Drosophila melanogaster: one gene and its partners. The gene in region 1 interacts genetically with each later gene. Each region holds a gene or a part of one and is shown in the gene's direction. Other genes may lie near its edges.

Region 1 (8,149 bases):
TTCATAAGTCAGTAGGAATCGTTCAGGAAAATATTTAAAAATTTTCTTGGCATATGGATAAAATGCCAAAAAAAAAACGGTCAGATTAAAAAATATTGAAAATCCAAACAATTTCTAACATTGATGGCGTGACAGCATTTGGGTGTTTTGTTGACGTTAGAGGGAGGAGTGGCCAATAATAAAAAGGCAAATAATAAAAATAAAATCACTAATAACTAATTGTCCCTATACGATTAGCATAGTGCAAATGAGAAAAATGCATAGGAAGCACATACTGCAGGACATTCTGCGTGACAATAGTCTCGAATGCTGTTGTAGCTTTAGTGAATTCGAATTCCACATAATAATTTATCAAACGAATTTTAATGATCGAAAGCATAAAAAATTAATGGGGCGCAGCAAAATCAATAGATGACCCATCGCGAAGAGATCTCTCTCACAGTGAAGGCAGGAGAAAGAATATTTAATAAAAATTCCCAAATCAAATTATAGAATCGTAAAAGTATTTATTACCACGGAGACCAAGAGGACTCAGATGGGGATGATACTGGAGCCCCAAAAGCAATGCTCCCGCCCCAGCACCTCTTCTTTAGGTTTGAGTGGATCCACGTGATTTGATTATTATCGGTTAATTGGTGGATCGTTAAATCTTTTACGATTCGTTTCTCAGCCTTTAACGGAGCCCGTTCTGGGAGCAACAAGTGCAGCGAGGATTCCCATTGGATGAAGACTCAGTAAACAATAAAAACAGCGGCAAAAGCAGAAAAAAACGAGCGAGTTTTTCGCCATTTTCGAGTTTTATGGCTCCACCAGGCATTCGTCAAATATTGGTAGATTTTAAGTTCGGATTTTGATAGTGTGGGTTTTTCGTCCACTAATGAAACTTACGCGCAAATATGCAAACCAAATCATCATGTCATCATTAAATCAAAGAATAGAATGAACACCCTTTATAATAGGAGTCATATGTCGAAACAAAAATTGGTATGGTTAAATATTGTATATGCAAAACGAAATTTAATTAGCCTCAAGGAATTTAATTGCATACCAAAGTTATAAATATCGATAAAAACTGGCAAAAAATTAAAGAGATATTATTTGTACATATGTATGTATGTATGTACATGTACTTTACACTAACGCATGTCTCCCTTATTGTGATGCTAACTTCTGACTTAAATCAATATACAGCTGTGTTCATAAAAAATAGCAGTGCTTTGCACCTGCGAGTTTAATATAGAAAAATCCTATGATTTACAGTTTTGATGGGCTTTTTTTTATAATATCATTAGGTATTTAATTTCCAACAATTCAACAAAAATTTCACACTTATTTCTTTAATAGTTTTCTAAAATATAGATCAAAACAACATAATAGGCAGATATTCTGGTGTTCACTGAAAGAGCAGTGCAATAAAAAAATATTAACAAAATTCAATTTGACTTAAAACTAACAGTTTTTCTTATTAATGTGTTGGATAGCCTCTGTTAGCCACCACCTACGCGGCTTGGAGTCCACCAGGTCCTGGCAACGTTTGGGGGGAATTTTTGCCAATGCATCCTGCACAACTTGCCAAATCTGAGCCTTAGACGTCGGGGAATTATTCGTCACATATTGTATAATGTCCCCCCACAGGTTTTCAATCGGGATTAAATCGGAAGATGGTGCTTGCCACGGCATTGCATCTATTCTATTTTGGGTGAACCTTTTCTTAACCGATTTGCTTCTGCCATTCGGATCATTATTCTGTTGGAATTTCCATTTTAAGGGCATATTATAATAAGAATATGACAGTAAGACATCCCTTAGTATATTTACACATGCGTTTTGGTCTATAATACCATAAATCATATGTTATGGACTCATACCATTGTAAAAAATAAACAAGCCCATACCAGTATTGCAGGTCCACCGTGATTGAAAGTCTTCAGTGGGTGTTTTGGGTGGTACTCGGTGTTTGGAGGTCGTCAGATATAACCATATGAACCAGTTCCACCAAATAGCACTATTTTTAACACATCAGTCCAGGGGATATTACGCCATTTGGAGACTGGCCAGTTTAGGTGGGTTTTAGCGAAGTTTAACCTTGGCTTAAAATGCCTTGGGCTAAGTAGGGGCACCTTTCGTGGACTCCTCGCAACTAAATTTTGATTCAGTAGTCGTCTCCGTAAATATGCATAGGAATCAAGGCAATGCTCGGTTACCGGTTGATAATTTTATAGAATAATGTATATAATGTTTTATAATGTAATGTATTATAATGTATCGAAAGTTACTATTTTATACGTTTGTCAATTTATGTGAAAAAGTACATGCAATATATAAACTTAAGGTAACCAGGGTCGGCACAAAGAAAAATATTGTAGATGCACTTATTAGACGTGATCTTGAGTATTAATGATACTAGTATTTAAATAGTATTCAATGCTGTCATCTTTTAGACTGTATAAAGGCACTTATTAAACCAAATTTGTACTTCATTCGGCTTTATACTTTCATATGTACATCAATGTTCTTACACAGCCTTACATTCACGCATTCACAAACATTGACACCTTGCCATGAAAACTAATAAAATCGCGGCATTTTGGCACATTTTCAGAGGAAAGAACGGCCGGAGTGTCGCTAATTCAATTGTTTTCGCAGCCAAAAAGAAAAGTGGAATGGGTTGATTTCAAGTGAAAATTGCCCCAAACCACTTTTCCACTTTTTCACTCTCCTACTCGCTCGCACAGCAATGCAACGAAACAAAAGAAGCGAGATCCACGAAGAAGCTGCAGAAAGGCGAACAAAAGTTGACAGCAGAGGGTATGAAGGAAGGTGAGCGAGAGGGAAGAGGCTAAAAGTGACGAGGGCGAAAAGCTCAGAGAGCAACAACTACTGTTTATTTTGAAAAGAAATAAAAACAGAGCAGGGACCGACACAGTTTGAGTGGCTGCGAGCAGGACGGCGCATGCGAGTGAGAGCATTTTTGTTAAACTGTCATAAATCTTAATTGTGATGGAATCGGATTCGGAATAGGACAAAAGAAGGGTGACGAAACGACAAAACAGATTTCACACACTTTCGGAGCAAGCGAGACGGAGCGGTCCCACAACGCTATCTCTTTCCCTAGCGATTTCCCCTGTTTCAGTTCCAAGCGTTCACTTGCCAGCACAGGGGAAAGTCTGCGCTCTTGTCGCTCTCTCTCTCTCTTCTCTCTCGCGCTCTCTTTTGGCTACCCATCGGTTTCGGGTTCTTTTCGCCAAGAGTCAGTCAGTCGACAAGAAACCGTTACTGCGTACGATCGTGCGAAAAAGCTCGGCGCACTTGGAAAAATCGTACGGTAATTAGTTAGCCGAGTGCCGGCGAGTGCGAGCGAGAGAGTAGCACATTTAATCACGCTGACAGCCAGCTTGTCCTGCAAGGGTGTGGGTGGCACACACGGCACACACAACACACACACAAGTGCGCAGCCGTCGCCAGAACGCAAAATCGAATCAGAAATTGCCGTCGCCAAAACGCGGGCTTCGTGTTTGCTCGTCAACAGCAGCGCAGCTTCCAATCGCTGCGCGTCCGTCGCGTCGCTTCATTTTTTCATCCGTATCAATCAGTGAAGGCAGAGCAGCAGCGCCCCGTTGTTGTTGTTTGTCAGCTTGACAGCGACGGCAGCGCAGCAGCAGCGCACCGGCAGAGCACCGCAGCAGAGGCTAGTGACGAAGGAACCCGGCCAGCGGGATTCAATCGCCTTTGGACTTTCGTTCGAGTAGTGACGACGAATCCGGATGAGAAGACGCACGCATCGCGACCCGCGGTTCCGCCAGAACAGTGAATTCTCAGTTTAAAACGCGTTTTTGGGGGAGGATAGAACGAGTGTTTTCCAGGCCGCCATCATATCTAGTCAAAGAAGCAGAGGTTTGATACTCTCGAACGCAAATGCTCGATCAAGACTGAAACATACGAGAAACATACAACTACAAATGGTTCAACAAAGTATACGTAAAACTACCACAAGCTAAACAAAATATACCACAAAAATATATTTATTACCAAAACTAAAGATAAACTATTGCAAATATTTACATTAAACGGTATTTAATTCACCAAAATTACACTACATACATAATGTAAAGCCAGTTACTTAAATCAACAAACCTTAACGAAGTATACGATTCAATGCAATTAATAAATTAAATTTAAATCAACACAAATTAGGAATTAAAAATACAAACGCCTCGAAACGTCATTTTTTGTCTGACATACGAAAGTTTATAAATTACAAAATCCAAAAAATATAAATTAATCAGTTATACGCTGCAACAACAACAAGTTATACTACAACGTACCAAGTGCAAAACAATAGATTATATGATCATTGTGTCAAACTAAAGTTAAGTTCCAAAATCCAACTAAAATCCTCGTTGTTTGCTCCAAAAAGAGCAAACCATCCAAGTTCCAGCAAACCGTCAAAATTCAGCAAAATTTAAAAATGTTACACGAGGCTCTGATGCTCGAGATCTACAGACAGGCGCTAAATGCCGGGTAAGTGTTATATGGAAGATTATTTCCATAGAACAGTGAAAGATGTAGAATTAAGAAAAAGATTCACATGGCCTTATTCGGGGGATTCAAAAATGTGACTACTCTGGGTATGAAGGATAAACGAACTGAGATTTTACTACCAAAGTGCATCAAAGTGTTTTTCATTATGAAATAGTGAAATATTGAATTCTTAACTAAAAGTGGCCATACTCAAAATATTCACATATAAAATAATTACATTCATCTCATTCAGTTAATATTATTTTTTTGCAATTGCTTTTTATGTGCGTTCAAGTATCTGGTTAAATAGAATATTATATATACCAAGTATATACGACATATATTGAATATAGAACGTTTTCAATCAAAATCAAAAACCATTGTCATTGTGAACTGATAGCCGAACTTGTTGAAATAGTATTGCAGACTCTCAACCACAAATCGGCCAAATAAATATATCAAGAAACTATGATTTCATGGCATTTGATGATTGGCATTGGCGGTTCGGCGTAGTCGCACACCTGTCGTTATAAATTCAGCGCCTCGCCAATAGCGCGCCCATATATCACAACACCCACCCGCAGAACCAAGAGTACTGAGTTCACGACTACGAGTCCAGACCCTCGGATCGGGAAAAGCAGAACTTGATTTGAAAAGGGTGGCTGGCAGGGGAAATCCGAAAATAACAGAAAAATCGCCATAGTTCGATGATGGGATACTAACTTGGGGTAAGCGTTTGTGTATCTGTATCTGGGTTTCTCTGAAATTATGATTAAACAAGTTCAAGATATTTTTCGAACTCGCTCTCGAACAGTCACTCGAGTGAGCCTGAGTCTGAGCAAATTAACTGAAGGCTAAAAACGGGTTTTATGACACTATATTTGCGGGGGCGAGGGTATTCGGGGGTGCATCTGGAGTATTAATAATAAAGTGCGACAAATTGTCTCGCTCTCGTTTGATTTGCATGCAGATACACACGAATTTTCAAGATTTTCCAAGGCGATGACGTAGTCGAATTGAATAAATCATGCGAAAAAGTGAAAAACTCAAAATACGCTACGCTCTGCTTGCCATCTTTTCCATTCTCCACCCCCTCCAATTTCCCCGTGTGCGCCTATTACCGGAGAGATTTATGTTCACAATTTGCCGCTGGCGTGTGCGTGTGCGTGTGGCTGTATCTCCGGGTGCATGTGTATGTTTAGTAATATTTACTCTGCTACCTTAACGGATTTGTCGTGCCTTAGATTTGCTTTAACAGGGACAGTGTGTTGTATTCGGCACAAATAGATATACTGTTATTAATAACCTTCATTTCGCAGTATATAGTAAAAATATACTAGGGAATAAACATTTTAAACAATAATTCTACTATAAAAAAATTCAGATCGGTCAACTCATATTTATTTATATTCTCACCTGAGGTCCAACCAACTCTCCCATATCACACCAATGGGTGTACTCCCACTATTTTAGTTAGCCTGAGCGTTACGGGTGCATATCAATATGCAACTCTCTCGATTATTAATGAGACATTTCAACTTGTAATTAACTGCACTTGCTGGAGTTGCGTATAAATCATTTTGATTTAAGCCTAATCGAATAACGAGATTTCAGATTATGATATGCTGGCGGAGAAAACTCGTTGCCAAGTATTTTATACTAGTCAAGCAAAATAATGGAGAAACGAGCCGCTAAATGGGTTGTTTGCGGGCTCAATCGCCCCTTGCAATCTGGATAGCTAATTAGCGGTGAGTGATTGCGCGGTGTGTGTAATAACTATCTTTGATAAACTGTCACCTGGCAGGTGACTGAGTTCAAAATAAGCTGCACATGAATCAGATTTTGTTCCGACGTTCCTTAAGATATCATCAATATTGCGCTAGGCCGGATTTGTTAGTAAACAATCCATCAATTAAACACTGACTTTCTGATAGGGCCCAGTGACAAAACTCCTCCGAATCAAACAACTTAATGCCGGTTAAGAATTTCATTTTTCGGTGAACGATCGCTCGTCACACAATAGCACATGACAATTACTTGATATTCGACGCTTCGACCAACTTAGGCAGATTTTACAGGCTGATTTTCACGTTCAAATATTGATTAAGTTTGGTTATTTCCGTCCGTTTCAAATGCAAACCCAATCAGCAAAGCACAATGCGCACCCACACACAAATACAAAGTTATTATATAGAGCTATCATCAAAAATTTATAACCTTTGCATATACTTCAAAGTTAATCAGACAATCATTCAAAATAAGCTAAACGGAATCCGCTGAATTATGTTTCTGTGAAATATTTTCTAAGCAAACAATCGGTGCTATAAAAATTATAAGTGGTTTTGATTTGAATGTTACACACTTGAACAAATGTAGGAAATAAAGTTTAAAGATTCGGTTTCTCTGATGGCAAATTATTTTCCTTATTCTTTTTTTTGTTTTCTCTGCTATGAGGGCAATAAAATTTGTTTATTCCATCTCTATTTATGCACATTTTTCAACAGCCCAATTAATTTATTCAAACCATGAGGAATTTGTGGTCGGTCAGCCAAACGATAATTGCCTCCAAGTTTGTCAAATACTTGAATCTCTTCTCGGATTCCGATTTTTGATTATGATCGGCATTGCTCATAACGCACGCCTAAAGTCTCGAATTAATCGCCATTGTTTCATTTGGATTTTTACTACCCATGTTGGAGGGGGGTGTGTGTGTGTTGCCGACTAAAACACATCTGCGTGCGCAAGAGTTTTATTTTTTCTATTCGGGTTTGCCTTATGGCGCTCAGAAATTTGAATAACAAATCGAAATGTTGACATATGTTTGCCATTGATGGCATTGTAGGTTCCCCTTGCCGGCGAATGATTTAGCACAGAGCGAAGCCAAATAAATAGTAAACCGCACTATAACGATTTCCAATGCTTTTGATTGCTTATCTACCGGTCTCATCCGGAGAAATGTTTGGCCTGCGAAAGTCAAAGGCGGTTGGCGAAAAGGGGCGAGATAGCTCTGTCGTTTAAATTGTTTTCTAATTCAGATATTCAGAGGTGATAGATTGCTGATTAGGTCTAAACGATTAGCTTAATTGTCTGAATGCGGCGAATGCGAATAATAAAATGAAAAGTAAAACCCCCTATTGATGCGTTACACGTTCGTTTTTTTTTTCGTTCGATGGCTATTCTTCTGTTTGGTATTATTCCCCCCATCAGTAATTTCATTTTGAATTCCATATTAATCAATACTTCCTATAGTGCAACAAATATCATGCCACTTACTGCAATAATAAGCATCTATTGTTCTTAGGAGTTCTTATGTTGGCATAATCAATCCTGGGTGCGCGGACTTAGATCCGTACTATAGTCTTAAGCTTTTATTTAAGCAATTGCTATTGCAATATTGAGTTATTGCAACTTATTTGAGTTATTTATTTTGAGTTATATTTTTAAAGTAAAATTTAATAACTGAACTTCAAATTAATTATTAAAATCATTAATCACCATTATTTTATTTGCAGAGCTCTGCCCACAGCTCGACCACGTTCCACTGAGTCGGCGAATTCCAGCGAGCGGTGTCCGTCACACGACTCAAACTCCTCGGAACATGGTGGTGGTGCTGGCAGCGGCGGAGTAG
Region 2 (8,089 bases), on another chromosome or scaffold:
ACCTGAAACAGTAAAATCATAAGACATAAAAATCTTAAAAATTCGTACACGAAAAGATTGAAAAGCAGCTGTTTTCGAGCTCCCTGGGAAGAGGCTGTGAGTCCTTTTCTGGATAGATATCCCGCAGGATCCTCTAGACCACATCCACATGTACCTGCTGATGAGAGTCTGTGGGAAGCGCACATGTTCGTCCTTCGTTTTATCCTCACGAGAGGCCTCGATACTCGTTTTGGGGTTTCCAGTTTTGTGTTTCCCGATTTCCCGTTTGTGTTTTGCATGAAATCGAATTTTCGTTTGAAGGTTTCCTATTCGGTTCTGTTACATTTGCATCCTGTGTGGGAAAAAACGGATGGGAATTTTTCCCGGACCGCACCTGCCAAGGAAAAGTCGAGATCTTTCATCTGAAATTATGTTTTATTTGGATATGATACAAAATAAATAAAAGAAAGTGATACTCAACATTTTTGGTAAATGGTATTATTTAAACAAAAAAATGGTACAGAAAAGCAAGCCTACTGCAAAAATGAGTTATAAATATATTTTATAGAGGTTTTGATTGATGAATGATTCGAAGATGTCGAGGTTGCAAGTAAGTAATAATGGTAGTAAGTAATACCCCTAAATACTAAATTACATAAACTGGCAAAACTCGCGTTTTCTTCGTTGAAAGATAAAAGGGAAATGTAAGTGTGAATTGCAAGTTTCCAAAGCTTGTTTCATTAAACGAATGTTGTTTGCTTTCATTAATGCTTTCATATCATCAAGAGACCCACACATTCTTGCCTTGTTTATTTTTGAAGCCCTTTCGATAACAAGTTCAGCAATTAAACGACACATGCCACCGGAGAAATATTGGAAACAGGTTGCAATTGATCATTACATCATCCATCTGAACTATAAACAGATCATGAGCGACACACGCTCCACCCGATATGAAGAGCATGTCCCGCCTCCAGATCTTAAAGGCCCCCTCTCGGATCCACCGATTATCACAAGCCACGCGACTAATTTTCAAGTTTTGCAGCCTCCACAGAGGGCCAAGAAAAAAAAAACGCTATCTCTTGGCCAAAAAATATGCATAAAATACGTGTAGATCGGAGGGTAAATGGAGGGGCGGTGCGAGGATGCGCAGAAGAGGCTGCAAAGTGAAAGATGTTGCCTGTCTGGTGGACTTGGCCAAGTACATGACCCCAATTTCTTTGTTGTTGCTGCCTTATTATTCAAACTGCACGGCGCCCTTCGACGGGTTAAGGGACCCGCCGAGCGGCTAACAGGGGGGGGGGGGTTGCAGAAGGGTGCACGCAAAAAGGATGGATGATGTATGTTGCGCTTTCAATTTGGAGCAGCAGGACATCTGTTTTTCGGAGTTGGAGCTCCCAGCTCCACGCGGTTACCTGCCGACAGCCAACCGGTTTACAGGTGCTAACTTGGCTTTAAAAGTCGGGAGGGTGGCTAAAGGGGATCAAGGGGCTAAAGGGGCCTTAAGGGGCTTCGGGGGGTTAAACGGCGCGCTCCGGCGATCGAGAGGCTGCCGTTTGACTTTGCCCCACAGCCTGCAGGTTTTTCTTCTCACTGCTCCTTTTCATTTTTTTCACTTCGCCGTTGCCGTTGTTTGATCATAAATTTGTGTTTAATTTAAAAACTTTTCACTCTTCTCATGGCTTGAAAACTCCCGGTGCGAGTACTTTACTGTCAAATTTATTGCGCGAAATATATGTTTGTTTAAATATTGCCATTACAGTTGGACATCTTTATAGTGAATTGGCTTTGAAGATTAAAGTAATGTCTGCAAAATAAACTACACGAATTTAGAAATAAGAGAGTAAGCTGTAGTTTCTAAAAAGATAATACTTAAACATAGTAACACTTTAAATATTTACTTATTTTTAATAAAAGTCAATGATAAAATACATATAAATACATATTATAAAACTATTATTAAAATATGCCAAACTAAAATTATTATTTTAAAATTAATACTTGTTTCTTTTTTCAAATAATGAAGGAATTGCATATATTTTCTGATCACTTTTAAAGAAACTTCACTGTAAAAGGAATCGCGGCGGGAACTTTATAGTCGGACAGGAGAAATTCGGGGTCTTGGTCCGCATTTCCTTGTAAAATTGGGTGTTGACTTGATTGGTTTCGTTTTCTGGGGTCTCCTGTCTGGTCTCCTCCTGGTCTCATGCATATGCAAATGTCCCTCGTTCGATGCAAATTAATGAAGACCGATTTTTATTGTACAAATTTCAACAACTTTATTTCGCGTGAAGAGAGTTCTGGCCATGTTATTCTCAGCCCTTTGCCTTGCTGACCCATTTATCAGACCATTTCAATGAACTGCTGTTTTCGAGTGATTTACAATGTTTGATCAAAAAATCGAATCAAATTAATCTTGCTCTTTTCGTTAAGTAATTGGATCAATTTTTAACGAAAGTTTGGATCCAGAGACCACCGAAGAATCTAATGATTTGTTAGGAATAATAATAAAATAAATAGGTGTACAGACTTAGCATTTTTACCTTAAGATTTTTACAGAATAGAATGGAAGTACAAATTGGAAAATCAGGCCAGCTATTTAAAATTGTAAAGCCAAAATGAAATCGTAGTAGGCGAACACATCATATTCAATCTATTTTCATAAAAATATTTAGTTTAGCTCGATTCGGCATCGTCGGCAGTCCTATATCAACTAGAAAATATTTGGATTCAAAAAAAAAATTTTATTTTTATTTTTTTTAATATTCGTTGAAAATAAATGCAAGTATTAAAAATTATTACTATTACACAAAATGCTTAGAACAAAATTTATTGATTTTGAAATATTGTTTGGTTATATAGTTATTTATCGTTTATTTCAATAGAGATTCTAGTTCATTTGGTTATTGTGGAGCAAACATATGCAACGCAGTGAAGATGTTATCACAAGATGGTATTTCCGAGCCAATGGATCTTTGAGGCAGAGGCTTGTAAATATTTGTACATTCTGATCATATTTAATGAGATTCCAAACCTTTAGCTAGATGGTATCTTCAGCAATTTCCACCGAGCAGCTTGGACAATTAATATGTAGTTTATGGATCCTCTTTCAATGAATTTAGTATGCCCAAACTCGAAGGAGTTTCACCTCCATAAGAGCGACAGTCCTGGAGAAGTTATCAGAGCCAAAAAAATTCATATGATGATGCATTTTCCGTCTCTGAAAACGTCTTCAGCAGAAGTTGTTTTTAGCGAAGTGAAACTCATTCGATTTTGATCATACTAACGACATTGGATGCTTGGATCGGCAGTTTGGTGGAATATAAATACCAAGACCCTAAGACTGATGACGTACCTGCTAATGAAGATGATGGAGATATACTTGCATGCCAATTCAATAAGTTATAAGCACCCAATATAATAAAATTCAAATATTTATATTAAATACAAATATCCATCTTTAATTTTATTTTTGGTTCTCATCTTGGCAACAATAAATGTTGCTAAGCATTTTGCTTTCAACTTTCGCGTGAGCTGAATCGGTAAATTGAGCGAACCGGGAATCAAATGTTGCTAACGAAATGCTTACAAGCCGGTATCCAACTGGTATCTGAAACTGCTAGCAAAACGGGGAATCAAATGTTGCTAACGTAAACGAATTGAATTGATTTGTTTTATTTTAGATATAAAAATAAAAGTAGAATATCTAGAAATAAAAAATCCGAATTTTGAAGATTATTTAGAGACAATCTTGGAAATTTGTACAAATAAACACCCGTCCGGTTGAAGTTAAACAATATAATAAATTCTTATATCAAAATAAACTTGGTAATGTATATTGAAATTTTAAATAGTTTTTAAAATGTGTAAGTTGACTATTTATTCAAAACGGTTTGTTGCATTGCATCTGCTGAAATGCACTAATTTTGCCACGGAACTCGTTTTGAGAGCGAAAGAGAGAAATGAGAGAGCGAGTACGTTTCGTGGTATTTTTTAGTACGATTCGCGGCGGTGAAGGTGAATAGTGTTTTGGTCGTGGACATGAACGGCATTACGTTTTTCAACTCGGCCGCGCGAATAACTCGAAAAAGGCAGCTCCGCAGCCAAGGCATTTTGAAAAACACAAGTCCCCGACTCGAAACGCGACCAAATATTCGGTGTGTGACGCGAACTGCCAATGCAATAGTTCACTTAAGAATTGCAGATTACCGCGACTCTGGGCAGTTCTCATTCGATATTTGAATGTACCAAAAGAAAAGTGCCAGAACCAGAAATCAAAATAAAAGATCTTCTAACAGAATAACAAGAAGTGTTTCCTCCGAAAGATTAAAAAATCGCGAATGATTAAGAATCGCGGCACCGTTAGTTCCCTCTCTCGCTTTTCCCTTTTGCGCTTTTCTGCGTGAAAAGGAGAAGACTCCGCAGTTCGCGAAAAGAGCTTTTATTTCGCGACACTTAAAAATAAACACAGTCGAGGAAATTGCAACAAAAAATGTGGCGCGTGCACGTGTAGCTTGCAACAACGACAACAAGAAAACAACGAAAATGCTAAAAGCGAATTGCAAAACCATGTGCGACAAGTAACCAAAAAAAAAATTCAAAACATAAACACAATAAACAATTTGAGTAGTTGCCGCACACACACACACACACACACAGCCCGTGGATTATTACACTAAAAGCGACACTCAATCCAAAAAATCAGCAACAAAAACATCAATAAACATGCATTGGATTAAATGTTTATTAACAGCATTCATTTGCTTCACAGTCATCGTGCAGGTGAGTTTCAGTCCCAGGAAAAGCGCTCATTTTCCATCCAACAAGTTGTATTTTTTGGCAATTTATTTTCTTTATTTCTACGCGCACGCGTGCACTCACCGCTGAATTTTGCAGCTGGTGTGTTGTGCGCGCATGTGTGTGTGTGGGGCCAAAAGGGAAGAAACGATTGAAGGGTTGCCAGGTTACTAAATATTTTAAAACTTTTGGGGTTCCGTATGATCATCTCAAAATATCTATTTTGAAACCACTCCAACATCGCGTTTGCTTCCAAACTTATTTTTCAAGCTGGTAACCCGAGAACTTTTGGGTAGAAACAGCTGAGTTGATATTTTAAGCGGGTTGGCTTTTAGGGGTGGAAATTGTGGATCGGATCGTATCACCCTTTTCGGAACATGCATACATATTTCATAGAGCAAAACTAGTTTGGAAACATGCGAGGCCAATGCCCAAACAGGTCCATCCCCAAAAAATGGTTTAATTCTAGTACACAGCGGAAAAATATGAGGCATACGTTAGAAGAAATACCTTCAAGATAATTTTTGACATGCAGATCAGTTCAACTTCTTAGAAATCCTACTATGTGTACTAATTGTTCTCCGTGTAAAAACAGAGATGATCCAAGTCTGCCTCAACGTCAAAATTTACCACCAACGGCGTATGCATCCAGAGCAGCAGCAAAAAATGATAAAACTGCTCGATTTCAATATGAGGCTATATAGTAATGCTGTGCTACAAGCCCATGCTAAAAAGTTGATGATGCTGGGCAACATCTGCCGTTTTCGCCGTCATCTCCTCCTCTGTCCCTCCGCTTTGCATGCGCTTTTTACATGCGATTTTTTTCGGTTTACTTTTCGCTCTGCGTAGGTCAACGCGACACATGCTCAGCCTCACTTGCTCTCCCCTCCTTGCGTTGTTTCTCTTCTGTCATGCTTTCATTGATCTTTAACGCCAGCATCCCCTGGTTACACGGATAAAAAAAAGAGTTGTGCAGGGTTTCCAAACAGTGCGATCTCTAGAAAATAACACTAAATATTTTGTTGTTAATGTGTGGGTTAGTTTCAAAGATAAGAAAATATTAAATTATAATAAATCTTGACCATACATAGTATGTGTACATAGTATACATTTCATAGTTCAGAACTATTTAGCTACGAAGAAATTACAACTTAGATCCACAATATTAAGCTGATAGGGAGCTCTTTATTGATAATAGTACCCATTTACTCACCGTGCACCCTGCATGTGCTCCAATCCTCTACCGCTCTCCGCACTTCTTGATTTTCTCCCAACTTTGGCACGTTGCGTGCTTAAACTTCACTCTTCGACCAGCTTCTTTTTGCAGTCTGCTATTTAGTCGCTAATTTTAACAACGTCCCAAAAAAGTGTCTCGACGCCAACCTCCTGGGGTCTTGGGACTGCTGAAAATGCTCCCCGTATGTAGGCAGAAACATCTGCCCAATAATTCTGACTCATTTCCTTACTTACTTACAGGGAAAGGTGGAATAGTTTAATTTGTCATTTAAAATAATATCTCGGGCAATTAGCTTGCCATTAGCAATGCAATTTAATTCAATTTTCTGCCCATTCTATAAGGTATTATTCTCACAATTTCTTGGCCCTTTCTTGTCCCATGCTGCGTTTAAATTTCAATTTAACTATCAAATAACCGTAGTCGCCTTGTTTTCGCATTTATGCAATTTTCATATTAACATTGAGCGTCGAAGAAGTGAGTGAGTGAGCGAGTGAGTGAATGAATGAATGAATGAATGAAGACTGGGACTCGTGGGGGAGCACTCGTAGTCTTCTCGGCTCTGCTCTTTCTTCGCATAACATAATTAATTGCAATTTAGAAGCCAAAGAGGAAGACGACGACTACTCCCACACAATGCGATGGATGATTCACTTGCGCTTGTAACTGTTTCCCAAGCCCGTTGTTAACGGTTGATTATGATGATGAATTTAAATGATTAATAAACAACATGCAGGGTAGGGGCACCAAAGCAAACACCTGTAGGAAAGTCGAGGAAAAGTCGGGGAAAATTATAATAAAAATGCGTGCTTTCATACATTTTTATGTCCCCTTGTGTTGTTTTAACTTCTTCCCTGCTTTTTTTTCTACAACAACTGTCTGTCAGTCAAGGCAAGTTGACGTGGAAATGGCAAAAAATGAAAAGAAACGAAGAACTAACTAACTAGTCGCTTCAAGCCTCAGTGATCGCAGTAAAAATAGGAGTAGTGGCCAGTAAAGAGAAAGAAAACGAGAAACGGAGACAAAGAATGGCTCAAGCAAAAGGTAAACAATGCAACGCACTATTTTCTAACACTTTAACAAGTGTCTGTCTTCCATTTGAGAGGTTGGCAGCTCCAGCTTTCAAGTTCCACCTGGCGAAACCCCCTCGTAGATCCCCCCCACAAGTTTTACCTTTCGGTTATTCAGCCGCTGTGGAGTTCATAGTTGAAGGCAAAGGCAAACAAAAAGCGGAAGGAGAACCATTACCAGTGTACATATGCCAAAGTTATGAGGCGGATTGTGCAAGGTGTAACTGAGCATTCAACATTTTGGAATTACGATAAAAACAGTCGGAAAAGTTAGATCAAAGAGAAATATATTATATATTTTACGTTATTAGAACGAAAGTTATGTTTTTTAAATGCTAATTCATCATATTATCTACTACTTGTCCCTTTAAGAGCTTGCTAATACTAACCGCATACTTGGAGGGACTTTAAAACAGTGTGAGAAACTATAACCAAAATTGGTGTCAAATGGTGGACAAAACTATTGTGGTTTTAACGATTGCACTTTTTGTTTTGTTTTGCTTGTGCTTCCCACCATCTTTAGAGTGTGTGTGAATGTTTGTTTGGTGTTATGCAAATTGATTTGCTTGTTGTTTTGTCTTGCTTTTTTTGTGTTGTATATGTTGTGTCAACTTCTGCGCCTTTGTTTGTGTGTGCGCTTTTCGTTTGTCCCATTTTGTTGTTTATAGTCTAGTTTAGTTTGGCTTTCCACTGGACACGCCCCCCTGCCCGCCGCCTCCCACCTTTCTAACCTTCCTTCCACTCAATGGTTTTTCTCCCTCTTTCTCTTTCCCTTTTTTATTGTATTTCTTTTATTAATTCAGACGCATCGTTTGGCTTGATTGTCTATTAATTCATTTTGCCTGCTTCTTATTCTGTGCTTTTTTGCGCATATTTATGCTCCTCTTCAAAGCGCCGTTGAAAACAAGTTTTTGCTCTGGGAGAGCCTCGCTCTCGTGCTCTCTCTCTCTCTTTGGAGCAGCTGGCAGCTGCAGCTTGTAAGCTTGCACACACACACCAGCAAACACGC
Region 3 (8,733 bases), on another chromosome or scaffold:
AGAGCACAAACTTTGAACTTTCGATCGTATCCTGAACACATTCAAAGGACAATATCCAGAATTTCTTTCCTTCCGACTATATCCTGAACATAGATTACAAGATGATCTTTTTAATGCTAGGATACGCAAAGCGTCATATCTTTCAAGAGTTTAGATTGGTATAGTTTTCGGTATCCTGGCATTTGTGCTTCATCTTCTTGGGGCTCCATCTTGCGATTCTTCAGTCTTCAAGCGCTCGTTCTCCTCTCCTTGCCACATCTCTCTCCTTGTTTCATTTTTAGTCTGTTTGTTTGTGTGGGCTTATTCAAACGCAGACAGCGCGGCGGCAGCGTCGATGAAAAAAAGCAACCTAAGGTTCTTCTACTCCTACCACTCGTCTTCCGTCTCCGCCACCGCCGTCTTCACCTCCATCTCCTGCCCATTCTCGACGAGATTGGAGATCATAAGTGCCCCAGCACGTCGTTCTCCTTCTTTTCCTTTTTCGTCGGCTGCCGCGCCCTTTCCCTTTCCCAATTTTTTTATACTTCTTTTTTTTTTCTTCAACTTTTTAATCAATTCATGGGTATGGGTGGATGTGTGTATAGGTTTCTTCGATTTTTACGTTACCTTTTTATATTCAATTTTTATCTCTTTGCCTTCGTCTTTTCCGCTTCTTTTTTTTTGTTTTGTTTTTGATAAATCGATTTAGAAGCCGACGGGGTCTAAATAAAAAAAAAAGTGGAATTCTTTTGATTTTTCTGTGCCAGTGTGTGTGTTGCTTTTGAACTTTTTGTCGTTTGAATTTTTCGGGCCGAGTGTGTGTGCGTTTTTTCGGCATATTTTTGGGTTGTTTGTGGCCGCTTTACTTGGAAATGCAATTCCAAAATGTATTTCTCTCGCCTTTTTTAAAGGGTTTTATCTTTGGCGTCTTACAGATTTTTTCAAAATTTCTATTAATTTTTAATATTAATATTGTATGATATTTGTTAGTAATATCTATTGTTTTTAAATCTTTTTAGTTGTTGAATTTTAAGTAATTTTTCAATTTATTACTTTGGAACTTAACTTTTTTTTTAGTTTAGTTTAGTTTTTAGGTTTAAGTTCGTTACCGATTTTAGAGCTCCTTTTAAGCCCTTTTTTGTCAGTGCATCGAAGTTTATTTCTCGCTGTTCTTCCCGCTTGTTGTATTTCTTTTTTTTCTTGTGCAGGCGCTTCGCAGGCTCCATCTTGTCTTGCCGTCCCTTTCCAGCTTCCTTGATCTTTCCAGACAGTCCGTCGTCGGCTTTTGATTCGTGGGCACAGTGGGACGGTGGCGGGGGCGGCGGTTTGGGATTGGGTACAGTGGGGCGGGGGCAGCAGAGACGTGGGAATCTGAACCCCAGATATCTATGTATAGTTGTTGCTTTTTTTCTTTTGCTGGTTTTTGTTATTTTTTTTGTAAGAGGTACATAGGTGACTCAAAGATCGCTAGTCCTTTCCCTTTCCCACTTCATCTTACCATACCGCACGCGCAAATTGATGCTCAACAACAACACCATATATTTGATTTGTTTTATGTCATTTTTTCTATTTTTATTTTCATAAATTTGCATACACACGCAAGCGAAGCAGCCCACTGTCTCCGACAAAAAAAAATCACGCACACACAGAACCACACACGCATGCAAATAGCGAAAGAGAGCGAGGTGTCTGCGGCAGTGTGTGTGTGTGTTTCATTCATGAATCCAGATTTTGCCGAGGCAGGAGAACAGAAGAAGCAGAGTAAGCTGGTAACGAAGCAGAGGCAGCATTTCGGTTTGTCATTTGCAACAAGTGCGGAGAGGTTCTCTTGTACACATATTGTTGCTGCACTTATTGCATGCCCTTTTAGTTCTTTTTCGTTGCATTGTTTTATTTTTTCAATTTTTCTAAGCTTAGACAGAACGGCGGCAACGTCGACAGAAATAAGCTAAAGCTATATGGTATATATGCACCCACGGCCATAACAACGAGTAAAAAAAAAACCAAGATAGTTGGAAACCTCTGTGTTCGTCTGGCTCTATGTGTGTGTAAAAATATAAAAAATGCAGCAATGCATTCAACAGTTGATTCAAGAGAGAGCAAAAGGAAGAGAGAGAGCGGGCGGTTTGGTTGGCGAGAGAGCGGCGCTCAACAAGTTCGTTCGACGATCTGTTGCGCGGTTTCTACGGATGTGTGTGTGTATGCTGACGGGGGACGTGGGCACAGGGGTGTGGGTCAAAAGGGGTGGGGGGCTCTGGCCGATGTGGAAGGGGTATGGGGGAGGGCGGCGTGTGGAGTGGCAGTGCCAGAATGTCTGGCAGCCACGACTCTGGCGCACACACGCACACCATTCAAAGGTGCCTTTTGCACACGTGTGTGTGCGTGTGTGTATCTGTATGAGCAACTGGCAGAGCCAGCGAATTTGTAGCGCAGCCAGAAACAACAACACAACGCAACACGGCAACAGCAACCGCAGCCGCTAACAAACTGTGCTGCGACACAGTGGCACAAAAAGCTGCCAGCAAAGGGTTAAGTGTGGGCCTACTAATACATGTAAAAAACTAATTTTTGTAAACAGAATTTAAAAATGGTTTCCAAGTAGTGCGAACATTTGTCGACTTTGGGTTTATGTTTAAAACAATAATCTGTTGTTGGCAGATAGCTAACAATGTTTTAGAGATAGAAGAATTTGAAACGCGTTTCACTTATTGACTCGATGGCCTATAAATTGATAAAGGGTTTTTTAATTATTAAAGAAGAAGAAAATGTGTTATATTATCTCGCTGTTAAAAATGTTATCTTTTGATTTGTTCTATTCCATGTTTTTAGGTATCATATAATATTTTTTTTATTTTTTATATAAAAAAAAGCCATACGAATTGGTCCCACTGTGCGGTTCGCGGTGTTTGTCAGTTAGTCAGTCAGTCGGGTGACTGTGGCAATCGAAAAGAGTGGACAAAGACTGTGGCGCACAGGGACGGGGGAATGGGTTGCTCCGTCCCATGTTGTCCATTCGGTCCCACCGTGCACACAACTCAGCACAGCACGGCACAGCAGCAACAAAAGCGCCGCAAAAGGGAACTGGTATTATGGCATCCCGCTCGCACTTGCACTCCAAGCACGCACACATGCAAGCGCAGACACCTCGCGACACGATTGTCGTCAGTTTGTCTGCAATGCTCAGCTTCAGCGCCATGCGCTCTCTCTCTGTTGCTCGCTCTCTAGCTCCCCCTCTCACTCTCTCTCCCACTGCTGCACGCACACGAACACCCACACGAACAGCAGCAACAACAACAGCAGCGCACAGCAGACAGGCAGGCACTTTACGCCTGTGTGCGTGAGCATTTCAGAGTGAACCGCAGTCGACGGCGGCGCCGGCAGCGACGCCGGCCGAGGCGAGGCAGTCTAGAACGTATCTTCGAACTAGAACGCCGAGGGCAGAACAATTGTGTTTTGGATTCCTTGCCGTGCGGATCGCAAACGCGAGTTATGAGAAGAGCGTAGTAAAACGTACGAGAAGTAGCTAACAAGAAAAGGAAAAGAGCAGAAGAAGCAACAGCACGCAGACATATATTTTTTTTAACTGTGTTTTATTTATCCGATCTATACCAATCGAAATATACACAACTATATAGATTTGAAACGGATTTTGAAAAGTGCTTTCAAATAAACTCCAAAAAGTATCAGAGCGAGTGTGTGCCAGTGTGTGTATGTGAGACGCGTCGCAGTCGACGTCGCTGCTTTGGGGACAGAGCTGCCAGATCGCGAGTTATGAAAGCGCAAGCGTCGCACGCAAGTAGCAACAACAGCTACAACAAAAGCACCTAAAACTTACTACCTACTACTACTGCAAAACACACTTGTTTGACTATTATTTCGCTACATTAAAATCAACAAAAATACACACAAAACTGACCAGAATCTTGGGAAAATAAAAACAATCTTTAAAGAACGCCACGAAAATAAACCATAATCATGGATAGCAGCAGCGAACAGTTGAACGGATCGGGAGCTTTGAATTTCAAGCGGCCCAAGGATTCTTCGGAGAATGCCACAAACAGCCACACAAATAATGGCAATTCTTCGGGCAGCCCCAAAATGGGAAGTCGTCGGATTTTCACGCCCCACTTTAAGCTGCAAGTCCTCGAATCATACAGGAATGATAATGATTGCAAGGGCAATCAACGGGCCACGGCCAGGAAATACAACATTCACCGCCGGCAAATCCAAAAATGGTTGCAATGCGAGTCAAATTTGCGATCATCGGTGGCCAACAATCAGCAACAGCAGCAGCAGCAGCAACAGCAACAGCAGCAACAACAGCAGCAGCAGCAACTACTCCCACAGCAATCGGTATCGCCGACACCGGCGGTCAAGGTGTTCCATCAGCTGAGCCATCCGCTGGTGCACCAGTTGCATCACCATCACGCCGCCGCGGTGGGTCATCATCATCATCATGCCGCCCACCATCATGCCGCCCATCATCATCACGCTGCAGCAGCAGCGGCGGCAGCAGCAGCGGCAGCAGCAGCAGCAGCAGCCCACCATCATGCCGCCCACCATTTGCTGGCAGCCAATGGCATGGTTCCACACCCCCTGGCCGCCCATCCCCACTTGCATGTCCCGGTGGCAATGCATCCTCAAATGCAGCATCAGAAGGAGCAACAGCAGCAGCAGCAGCAGTTGCAGCAGGAGCAGCAGCAACAGGATCAGCAGCAGTCACAGCAGGAGACACCTGCAACCATTGCTACCAATGGCAGCAATCAGGGATCCTCGAATGTCCTTTCGGCGGCCAAAATAGCCGCTGTTGTTGCCGCCGCCATGGCCACCAGCAATGGCAATCCCACACCGACAGCAACAATCCCCGCCAGCAGCAGCAGCAGCAGCAACACATTGCCGAGCAGCAATAACAGTAGTTGCCACAACAGCAGCAGCAGCAGCAATAGCTGCAACAGCAACCAAGTGCCAATACAAGTGCCAATCCTGAGCGGATCCCCTGGGTCCACATCGTCAGCCAGTCACATTCCACATGTGCCCTTTGCCTACCATCACAATCTGCATGGCTATTTGGAGAATCGACTGGAGGCGGTTGCCACACCAGCCCCCATGGACCTCTCTCTCGGATCCTCTGCCCGCCGTCAAATGCAGTTGCACGAAAAGGATCCATCTGGTGTGGATCTCACTTTCCGCAAACGTAAGGTCATCACTAGTCCGATGCAGCCGGATAAGATTAGTAAGCTGGAGGAGGTGATCAAGAAGGAGCCCGAAACGGAAACGGAGAACGAGGATGTGGAGGTGGACGTGGAGACGGAGCAGCCGGAGGAGCACAAGCTGCCCTCTAAACAGGTCAAGCTATTTAAGCCCTATTTGCTGGACGATGATGAGGAGCAGGATCATCATCATCATCACCATCACCATCGGCAGGAGGATTTGGATGAGGGAGCTGCCGAGGAGGAGCAGGACGACGAGGAAGAGTCCCGCTATGCCGACGATGATGAGGTGGACTCCAAGGAGGCGGCCGACAAGAAACAGCGTCGCCTCAAGAAAAAGCCATCGGCAATCAACGAACAAAGGGAACCCATCATCTGGAGCAACCATCCGTATCCCGGTGGCTGTGTATCGCCCGGCAGTTCGATCACCAGCAGCTTTCAGTGCCCCACCAGTATGCAACAGCAGCAGACATTTCCCGTCGCCGGCGGGAGTCCTAATCAGCAATTTCAGGACAACTGCAGCTCCAGCAAAGCCACCACGCCCCTCAGCCCATTCTCGGCGCCCGCCCTCTCGCCCACCGGCTTCTGTTGCCCCAAAGGATCGCCCGTTTCCGGTTACGAGAGCAGCTCATCCACCTACAGCGACAGCGGCAGCAACTACAGCCTCAATCTCCAGCTGCATGCCGTCTACAACGACAATCTGATGTACATGCAACAGCAGCAGCAGCAGCAGCAACAGCAGCATCACCTGCAACATCAGCAGCACCTGCAGCGCTGGCTGGATCAGGAGTCCTTGGCCACTGCGAGGACATCATCCGTCAACCGACCACTGATTCTCGTGGCGGATACTGCGCCCACAAACCTGACCCTGGTGGCCTAAGAACACACACACACACACACACACACACACACACAACAAACAACACACACAATAGAAACTAAGGAAGCAGCAATCCCACCAATCGGATGTTATAATGGCAGTCACTGGGCCTGGCCTTTTAGTTCCCTAAGCCATATTTAAGCTTAATAACGTTTTTTTTAGCCCTACCACCTAAGTTTACCTTAATAAAAAATTGTATATCTAAGCGCAAACATATATCTTCCAAGCATATCAGCAAAAAAAACCCCAAACCCTAGGTATAAACCCTTCTTTTTTTTTTGGTTACACACTAAGAACAAATTAAGCTTAAGTTCAGATTTTTCTTTTTTTTTTTCTTGTATTAGCTTGTGTAAATAATTGTGTACAAAAAGTGAAACAAGGCGAAACAATTGAATTTGCTTAAGAATTTCAACGCTTCATTTCATTTGTATAACTTGTGGGAGAGTATTTTAAGAGAGAAAATGTGAAAAATGCAACTGGAAAAACTGAGAAAATTGTTAAGAGTAAAGCTTTAAAAACGAAACAAATACACACCTTTACAATACACACTTTTTTTATTTGGAAATTGAAAATTGAAAATTCTTGTGATATGACAACAACAAAACAAAATTTTAATAAAATTGTTGAAAACTGAAGCTTATTGAATATACAGCTATATTATACATAAATATATATTTACAAACACAAAAGAGAGCAAGAAATTTAACGTAATATTAAGGGTTACATTTAAAAGTTAATTATAATGATATACAATATACATATATACAATATATTTATATACAAACAAGAGGAGAACGTTTTTTTTTTTTTTTCATTGCCAAGGGAAATATTAAATGCGCCTATACATAGAGAAAGAGATATATATATCTAAATGTATGTATATATATAAAATCAGTATTTTTATATATTACATTTGACAACAACAATAATAATAATAATAATTGTGTGACCATACAACAAACAAACAACAAAATCAAAAGGAAAACGAATTGATTAAATTAACAACAGAAAACTAAAAAAACTTTAAATTAAACTGGTTTTATCATTGCATTTGCGTTGGGTTTCGAATGAAGTCATTGCTTTTCAGATGACTGCAAATATTTCAGGGATCTATCTATAAGATCTTTTTTGGTTTCTGGGTTCAAAAAAAAAAAAAATCAATATCAATACACCCCCGCCGCATCAATTGGGATAATCTAGATTCGAGAAAAATCGACCTGCCTTTAGCTCCGCAATTCTTCTTAGCTGTCAGTGTGAGGTTAAGGCCCCATTTATAGAACCGATCGCCGTTTGATCTTTGCGATCATACCGAATGTGCCATTCAAATGTGTGTGCGTTATTTGCGTGCCTCATTGTGACAACTCATGGGTTGTCAGTCAGTCAGTCAGTCAGTCACTCAAGTCAGGGCATAGCTTAAGGCTTTGGGGCTTTCCATTTCGAGTGCCTGTGCCACGCCCCCTGCCCCCCCCCCCCCCCATCCCCTACGCACAGACTAGACCACCCACCGCCCTCCGCGAGCTACTCGGTTTCTGGTCAAATTCGCTTGGCACATTTCAACGGCGGGGTATGACTAAGCCGCAAATTCTATAATGATCGTATTTTTAAAACGTTTAAAAATAAAGTGCTCTCGTTTGCCAATGTGTGCGCCAATCACGAGCCCCGAGCCGCAGCATTCAGCACCACTGCGATCCACAGCCACATCCACATCAGCATTAGCATCAGCATCAGCATCAGCACCACCGCAACTGCCACAGACGGCAGCTATCGTATCGTATCGTATCGGATCGGATCGGATTGGATCGGTTTGGGGGATCGGTTCTTGAGACAGAGCGGCATACTCATTGTTTTTCACTTGACGCGCTTTCCCTTCTGCAGAGCAAAAGGCAAATCCGAGCGATCGCTGCCAAAGAATTTTTGCGACATTTGCGGACAAAATAGACCCCACGGGATACCCACTAGTCATGCACAAGGCGAAAAATATTCCACTACTTTATGAAAAGTAATATTCATAGACACTAGCTGCCATTAAATGAACAAGGTATACTCTCTTGTATACCATAATGTTCTTATCACTTAGCCAACATTTGTTGCATCGCATTTTTTTTTCTCTGTGTACAAAAGGGTGGAGACTGTGCTGGCAGATCGGAACTGTTGGCATCTATGCGATTTGATCGTTCAGGTGATCGTTCCCACGTAGTCAAGTCCAACTAGGGACGTAGTTAAGTGGAAGGGATGAGGAACAAAAGAAATAGGAACGGGGAATCAATTCGGGAGGAGTGGACAACAGCTAGATCAACACAAAAGTCAAAAGAACACAACGAAATGGAACACTAAATCAGATTAGGAAGTACCAACAGTACCAAAGTTTACTTAGTCTATAACAGTACAGTTATATAATCTTTAATCTATGAAAGATAAGAGGTGTTCAAGAAGTTGAAACTAGAAACTATGGAGAAGAATCAATGGAAAAGATCAGAAACGCAAGGATGAGAACCAATAACCACAAATAGGACCACCAAACAAACTATGGTAAGGTACGACGAAAATGGCTAAGATCAGGGGCCAGAATCCCCAAGAGGAGCGTACATATGTACGTATGTATGTATGTCGAGGTGGGGTCCATTGGTACCGGGAAACTGTGGGAGGAGCGACCGCAGATGATTG
Region 4 (6,488 bases), on another chromosome or scaffold:
TACTATTGGTTCGACTTATTCAAATATTGGCAATTGTTTTATAGTTCAAATATATGTTGGGGACATATAGATCGACTTATGAAACTGATTTAGGGTTTGCCCAAAAGCATCATCTTTTGATTTTAAACATTTTTTTTACAACAAAATAAAATTTAATTTTAAATGGATTGGGAATTGAATTGTTTGCATATTCAAGATATATAGTATTAAAGTTATTGATTAAATAGTGCAAGACCACCCCGTTACAACTAGTTGAATCAATTTGGATTCGAACACGCTAATATCCCATCAGCTATAACAACATATTGAACACATTTCCAGGATTAACTGCACGTCAGCACAAGGCAAATAGTATCACCCGTTTTACATCTAATATGTTTATACTTTAGACCAAAATTAATGGCGAAGTCTTGGTGAAAAGCATACACAAGTCGGACCCCAGGAACTAAGATAGATTGGAAAAGTAGAAGGGTATACCTCTATGGTCTGTTGCTCCGATATGAACTCGACATCCTTGTTAAGGTCCATGCTGTCGTTCATGTTCATGCCCATGCCCATGCCCGGCGGCATACCAGCATTTCCCTGAAAGCAAATCATAATGAAAATATGTACATCGTCATGAAATCATAAGATGTACCTTCATTACGTTCTGGAAATGCTGCTGCAGTGCCTCGTCCTGATAGCGATGCTTCTGGTTCTCCTCCTGCGGCTTCAAATTTTGGAAGTTCTGCAGCGTATGGAGCTGCCGCAGCACATTCGGATTGTTTAGCAGCTGCTTGATCTTCTTCTCCTGAAAGAGTTATTTAAAAGGTTATTCAAAATGGGATCGATCTAATGTGAGCAACAAAAGCAACAAATAGAAACTTAAGATAAACAAAACTATCTAAATGAAGAGATGTGTTAATGGGGTTCGCCATACGTCTAACAGGTTTGAAGAAGTGGGCGGTGAGTCGTCGCCCATACAGTGGTGATCATCTGCCATCAGCATCTGCAGGCCTTCATCTTCTTCCTCGATGATCTCCCGCACCTGGTAGTCAATGTCGTGCGAGCTCTTGACATATTCCCGTTTGTGATGATGCGACTTGCTGGTCTTCGACGAGCACGAGACCACCGACTGTCGTTTGGAATAGTGTTGCTCCGAGTAGTGACGCTTGGAGCTGCTGCTGCCACCGCCGAACTTCTCATGGCCCAGCTAGCGATTGGGCGAAGGGCAAAATGGGCGGTTAGTGGGCAAGACATGAGAGACAGAGAAATGTAAATGCAGCAGAATTGTAGACGATGTTAGTTAAGCCATTATCCAATACTAGACACCTGTAGAAGCCTCAACCGAAAGCATCACTTACCGACAAGTCGGGCATGGCACCGCCCATCTTATCGTCGCCCCCGGAGCTGTTCATGCTTATCTCCATTCCGGAGCTGTTTAGACCGTTCGGACCGCTCGATATGTCCGCCAGGCTAAGAGCACCGCTGCTGCTGGGTCCTGGACCCACGCCGCCGCCCTGTCCTCCACTGCCACCCACCGGAGGCATCTGGTGGTAGATTGGGTGGTTTGGGTCGGCCAGGTCGAAGATCGGCTGAATGACCTCGGACTTGAAGACGTTGTTTTTCTGCCACAGGTTCAGTACCCGGATGATGCGACTCTTGTCCTCCGGAGCGCACCGGAACAAGTTGGCAAAGGTCTCCGTGAGATTACGCTGGAATCGGGGCGCGAACAGATCCTTGTCCATACCGTACTGGTGGCGCGACTGGCGCACTATCGAGTCGATTACATACAGCCCGGGTACTTTGTACTCCGGCTTGCACTTCAAGATGAACTTCTCCACACTCTGGACGACGTGCTTATACAGCTTGATGGCCCGCATCGCCGACTTGGTGATGGCGGCCATCTTCGCTTTGGAAATGGGCGGTCGGCTGTCATAGAGTCCGGAGAGCTAAGGAGAAATATAGATGTTACAGTACGGCTATAGTTTACGGATATCTGGGACATGGAGTTATCGTTATCGGGTGCTGGCCAAAAAGCAACCCTGAGCGGTGCTGTTCGGTGCTCTGCCTGCGCCTCCAGCAGGATCTGTATACCTCCCGCACATTGGACAATCCGAATACCGACTTCAAGCGGACATTGTGCAACCACGCCGGCTGCTCCATAACGAACCTCGTTTCTAATGCATCTATAGCTTACCTCATTGTTGAAGGCAACCACGGTTTCCATGTTCAATTGCTTGGTTCACTCACGGCACGCACACACAATATTTAGTTTTGCATACTTTGGTTGGTCAACACAATCGTTTAAAACTGGCGAAAAACAATTTTCTCGACCTTTCTGCGGTTTCCACGGCTTTTAAAAAAACTTTTTACAAAGCGTGAAAAAAATGGCTGCCCTAAAGCCTGAAGCGTTGCCAGACCTGTAAAGTTGACATTTTCAAGGCATTTCTGGAAATTGTGCTGTTAATGGCAGTGTGACCGTATGTGGTGCATAACGTTTCGGTATTAAAAAATTTTCCAAATATTTATAAAAAATAAAACGAAATAGAATTTTCATTATGGAATCCAAAAGTTTCATATAAAAAAATAATGACAACAAAATAAAAATGACCTTAAATAAATTTAAATGAAATCAAATCTTCTTAAATGTACTACCTTTTAAAAATAATCGCTATCGGCGGTGTCGATCTTTTTAGCATTGTGTCGATGACAATACATCTGGCAACACTGGTCAATATTAAACATATATTAAACAAATTAAAATGAGCTCAAACCACCGTCCTCTGGACGATTCGGATATCCTCCTAATACAAACCATCCGCGAGACGCCGTCGCTGTACGATCCCCAGCTGCCCTCCTTTCGGCTGTCGCAGCGCAAAGAGGAGGACTGGGCAAAAGTGGCGGATTTGCTAAACATCTCCATCTCAGACGCTCGGCGACGGTGGACGTGTCTGCGGGATCGCTATTCGCGGGAGCTTAAGCAGAAGCGCCTGCATCCGTCCGGCGAGTTTGGTCACAATGACTTCTTTCGGAAGATGGACTTCCTGCGGGACTTTGTGCGCAAGAGACGCGAGCGCAGAGGACGCGAACGGGATCGGGAACAAAAGCCAACCGGGTGGATGAAGGTTGATTTACAGCGACGGCGTCGTACCCGCCTGCCTATTGACACAGAGACCTTGATCGAGGAGCAAGGTTCGCACGCCTACGATGAGGGCGAGGAGCAACACGACTACGACGCTAAGCTGGAGTCTCATACCACACAATCGGAGACGTATTCGGTGGTCGTGGAGGCGGACGATGGGCAGGAGCCCGAACAGGAGAGCTTCGATGAGTTCCTGGGGGATGCGGAGTGCGAGCAAAAGGTCAAGGTGGTCACAATTCATCCGGAAATCGCTGCTCCGAATGCGACGTCCGCACCTGAGCCTATTGAGTCTAACCACGCGGATCTGAACTACTTGGTCTGTATGCCGCCCAATGCGAATCAGGAGCGAGAGCATTCCGCCCCAGAATTACCCAATCCCACGGCCGTCATCACCCAAAAGACTTGCGAAACAGAGGACGACTTCTTTTGCAAGTCGATTGCCGCGTATTTGCGCCAACTGTCGCGCGTGCACAAGATCAAGGCCAAGGTGGAGATGTACCAGATTCTAGAGAAGTACATACTGCTCGAGGAGTGCGGAAAGGGGTCGGGTGCGGGCGGATCAGGCTAAGCAGGTTGCATGCAATATGTACATAGGTTTTAACATAGTTTTTTAATGCAGTACAAATATACAAAGAGACGAAAATCTTTTGAGCTTAATCTAACTTTGTGCTTAGGAAAAAATGGAGTCTTAGCAGAAGTCCTCGTTGATTATGTTGGCATCTACGGCCAGGCCTCGTTCCTTTAGTGCCTTGGATACTAGGCGGTGTTTCTCCTGCCGCTGCTCCTGTTCCCTACGCTGGGCGTCCAGGATTTCATCGACGGATATCTCTTTGAGTGGCAGTTTCTGCTCCTTTTCACGGTCCTTTTACGCATATTTAAAGGGTGTTAATCAGTCATATTGAAAAAGTATCGAGTAAAGCTTACTATTTCGCCCAGTAGCACCACATTCTCCCCGCGAATGATGAAGACTCCGCGAGGAATGTCGCCGTATTCGTTGCCCACATGTATCCGCTCGATGGTGCGTTGCAGCACCAGGTTGGCGAACTGGTCCACGGACCGCAGGTATCCAATCAGAGTCCGTCCGTCTCTCAAAAGTACCATCAGTTTCTCTGCAATGCGCCGGTTTTCAACGACTGGCCTTCCTTTCATTCGGATTTACTCACTGTCAACCTCTTCCAGGAGGTGAGCCGTGCCCGCCAGCGGATTTAAGTCGTCCATGCTATGAAAATATGTGGGATTTAGATAAATAAATAAACTGAAGCAACTAAACTTTGGTCTAAATTTTAGTATTTAATATTAATGTAACCCTCGCTGAAGGGTTTAAAAAACCACAATGCTCTAGAAAAAAATACTAAAAATATTACTACACTGTTCAACGAAACTTATAAGATATTGCTTACTGAAATTGATGTTTTTAGTTTTAAAATGCATAGATATTAAATAGTTATTATTAATTTTCAAACAGTTAAAAATAAGATTTCTGCTCTAACATCAAATATTTTTACGCTGTTCACAGAGTTACAAAATAAAAAGAAGTTGACCAAAAAAATATCAAAACTTGTACTCAATCCATGCAAATTTTTCACAGCCCCATCGATAACGATGGTACAAATTCTATACCTCGATAGTACCATCGATAGTTTGCCGGCACAGGGAATTGTGAATTATCCCGGAATAGGCGAATAATGAAGTAAGTGGCAGAACGGGATAAATGAAAGTACTCCTTTAACAACCCAGTCCACAGGCTCAGCGTGGACGGCCTGTTGGTGTACTTTCCGTACGAGTACATCTACCCGGAACAATATGCCTACATGCTGGAACTTAAGCGTAGCCTGGACGCCAAGGGCCACTGCCTGTTGGAGATGCCCTCGGGAACGGGCAAGACGGCCACGCTGCTCTCCCTGATCGTTGCCTACATGGTGGAGCATCCGGAAACGGTGCGCAAGCTCATCTACTGCTCGCGTACTGTTCCGGAGATCGAGAAAGTGATCGCCGAGCTGCAGAACCTGATGGTTTACTACGAGCGCCACTGCCCCAATCCACCACCCTTCACCGGTCTGGTGCTCAGCTCTAGGAAGAACATGTGCATCCATCCGGAGGTCAGTAAGGAGCGCGAGGGCAAGGCCGTGGACGGTAAATGTTACGGACTCACTGCCAGCTACATTCGCGAACGGCACGAGATGGACACCGAGACGCCCATTTGTAAGACTATTGTTATCCATATGTAACCATTATTTCAACTGCGAACTTGTAGGCCAGTACTTTGAGGGATTTAGCCTGGAAGGCAAGGAGTCCACATTGCCGGTCGGCGTCTACAGCATCGATGATCTTAAGGAATACGGTCGGTCGCGCAACTGGTGTCCCTACTTTTTGGCTCGCTATGCTGTGAGTTTTTTCGTTTGAAAATTTCAAGACTAGATTTGACTATATCTTGCATTCTTTACCAGATTGCCCATGCTCACATTGTGGTATACAGTTACCACTATCTATTAGATCCGAAAATTGCCCAGGTGGTATCTAAGGAAATGAGCCGCGAGTCCTGTGTGGTCTTTGATGAGGCGCACAACATCGACAACGTTTGCATCGATTCGATGAGTGTGAAGATCAACAGACGCACCGTGGAGCGAAGCACGAATGCTTTGAACCATCTAACTAAACTGGTTCAGGAGTAAGTTGTTCAGGATATGCGACTGGTTTATGGCCAAAAAAAACATTCTTAATCTACAGCATTCGCGAAGAGGACACAAATCGTCTGAACGAGGAGTATCAGCGCATGGTGCAGGGTCTGAAGGATGCCAGTGTGCAGCGCGACACGGACATGATCCTGGCCAATCCGGTCCTGCCAAACGATGTCCTAACCGAGGTGGTGCCCGGAAATATTAGGAACGCCGATCATTTCCTTAGCTTTCTGCGTCGATTCATCGAGTATATAAAGACAAGACTGCGCGTTCATCATGTCGTTCAGGAGTCACCTGCGGGCTTCCTTAAGGATATTTCCTCCAAGATTTGTATAGAGAGAAAGCCTCTGCGTTTTTGTGCTGAGCGCCTGTCCAGTCTGCTGCGCACGCTTGAGATCAGTGATTTGACGGAGTATGGAGCCCTTACACTGGTGAGCTTTCAAATTCCATACAAGGTAAAAGCGATATTAATGCTCTTTCTATTTTCAGATTACACACTTTGCCACCCTGGTGTCCACCTACACAAAGGGCTTCACAATCATTATAGAACCCTTCGACGATAAAACGCCGACTGTTTCGAATCCCATTTTGCACTTTAGTTGCCTAGACTCTTCCATTGCCATGGCTCCGGTATTTTCGAGATTTCAAACCGTGGTCATCACTTCTGGCACATTGTCACCCATGGA

What was found.
Region 2: of tsh (region 1) and Delta, changing one enhances a phenotype caused by changing the other (phenotypic enhancement), as found in Drosophila melanogaster (one study listed by BioGRID).
Region 3: of tsh (region 1) and brk, changing one enhances a phenotype caused by changing the other (phenotypic enhancement), as found in Drosophila melanogaster (one study listed by BioGRID).
Region 4: of tsh (region 1) and hng1, changing one suppresses a phenotype caused by changing the other (phenotypic suppression), as found in Drosophila melanogaster (one study listed by BioGRID).

What each region holds. Positions count from the first base shown.
Region 1 is NT_033779.5:21,825,338-21,833,486, forward strand, and holds the start of tsh (teashirt), read left to right. Parts: upstream 1-3,255; 5' UTR 3,256-4,468; coding exon 4,469-4,521; intron 4,522-8,033; coding exon 8,034-8,149. UniProt on the Drosophila melanogaster protein: Homeotic protein that acts downstream of Arm in the Wg cascade during embryogenesis to determine segment identity throughout the entire trunk.
Region 2 is NT_033777.3:19,322,154-19,330,242, reverse strand, and holds the start of Delta (delta), read left to right. Parts: upstream 1-4,025; 5' UTR 4,026-4,704; coding exon 4,705-4,761; intron 4,762-8,089. UniProt on the Drosophila melanogaster protein: Acts as a ligand for Notch (N) receptor. Essential for proper differentiation of ectoderm. Delta is required for the correct separation of neural and epidermal cell lineages.
Region 3 is NC_004354.4:7,304,519-7,313,251, forward strand, and holds brk (brinker), read left to right. Parts: upstream 1-3,420; 5' UTR 3,421-3,954; coding exon 3,955-6,069; 3' UTR 6,070-6,614; downstream 6,615-8,733.
Region 4 is NT_033778.4:21,166,253-21,172,740, forward strand, and holds hng1 (hinge1), read left to right. Parts: upstream 1-2,677; 5' UTR 2,678-2,744; coding exon 2,745-3,692; 3' UTR 3,693-3,758; downstream 3,759-6,488. Other genes in the region: Isha (insulator su(Hw) mRNA adaptor), read right to left, coding at 478-582, 638-790, 920-1,192, 1,344-1,931, 2,180-2,209; LSm1 (uncharacterized protein), read right to left, coding at 3,813-3,986, 4,049-4,233, 4,288-4,342; Xpd (xeroderma pigmentosum D), read left to right, coding at 4,810-4,814, 4,869-5,326, 5,379-5,509, 5,572-5,792, 5,852-6,233, 6,292-6,488.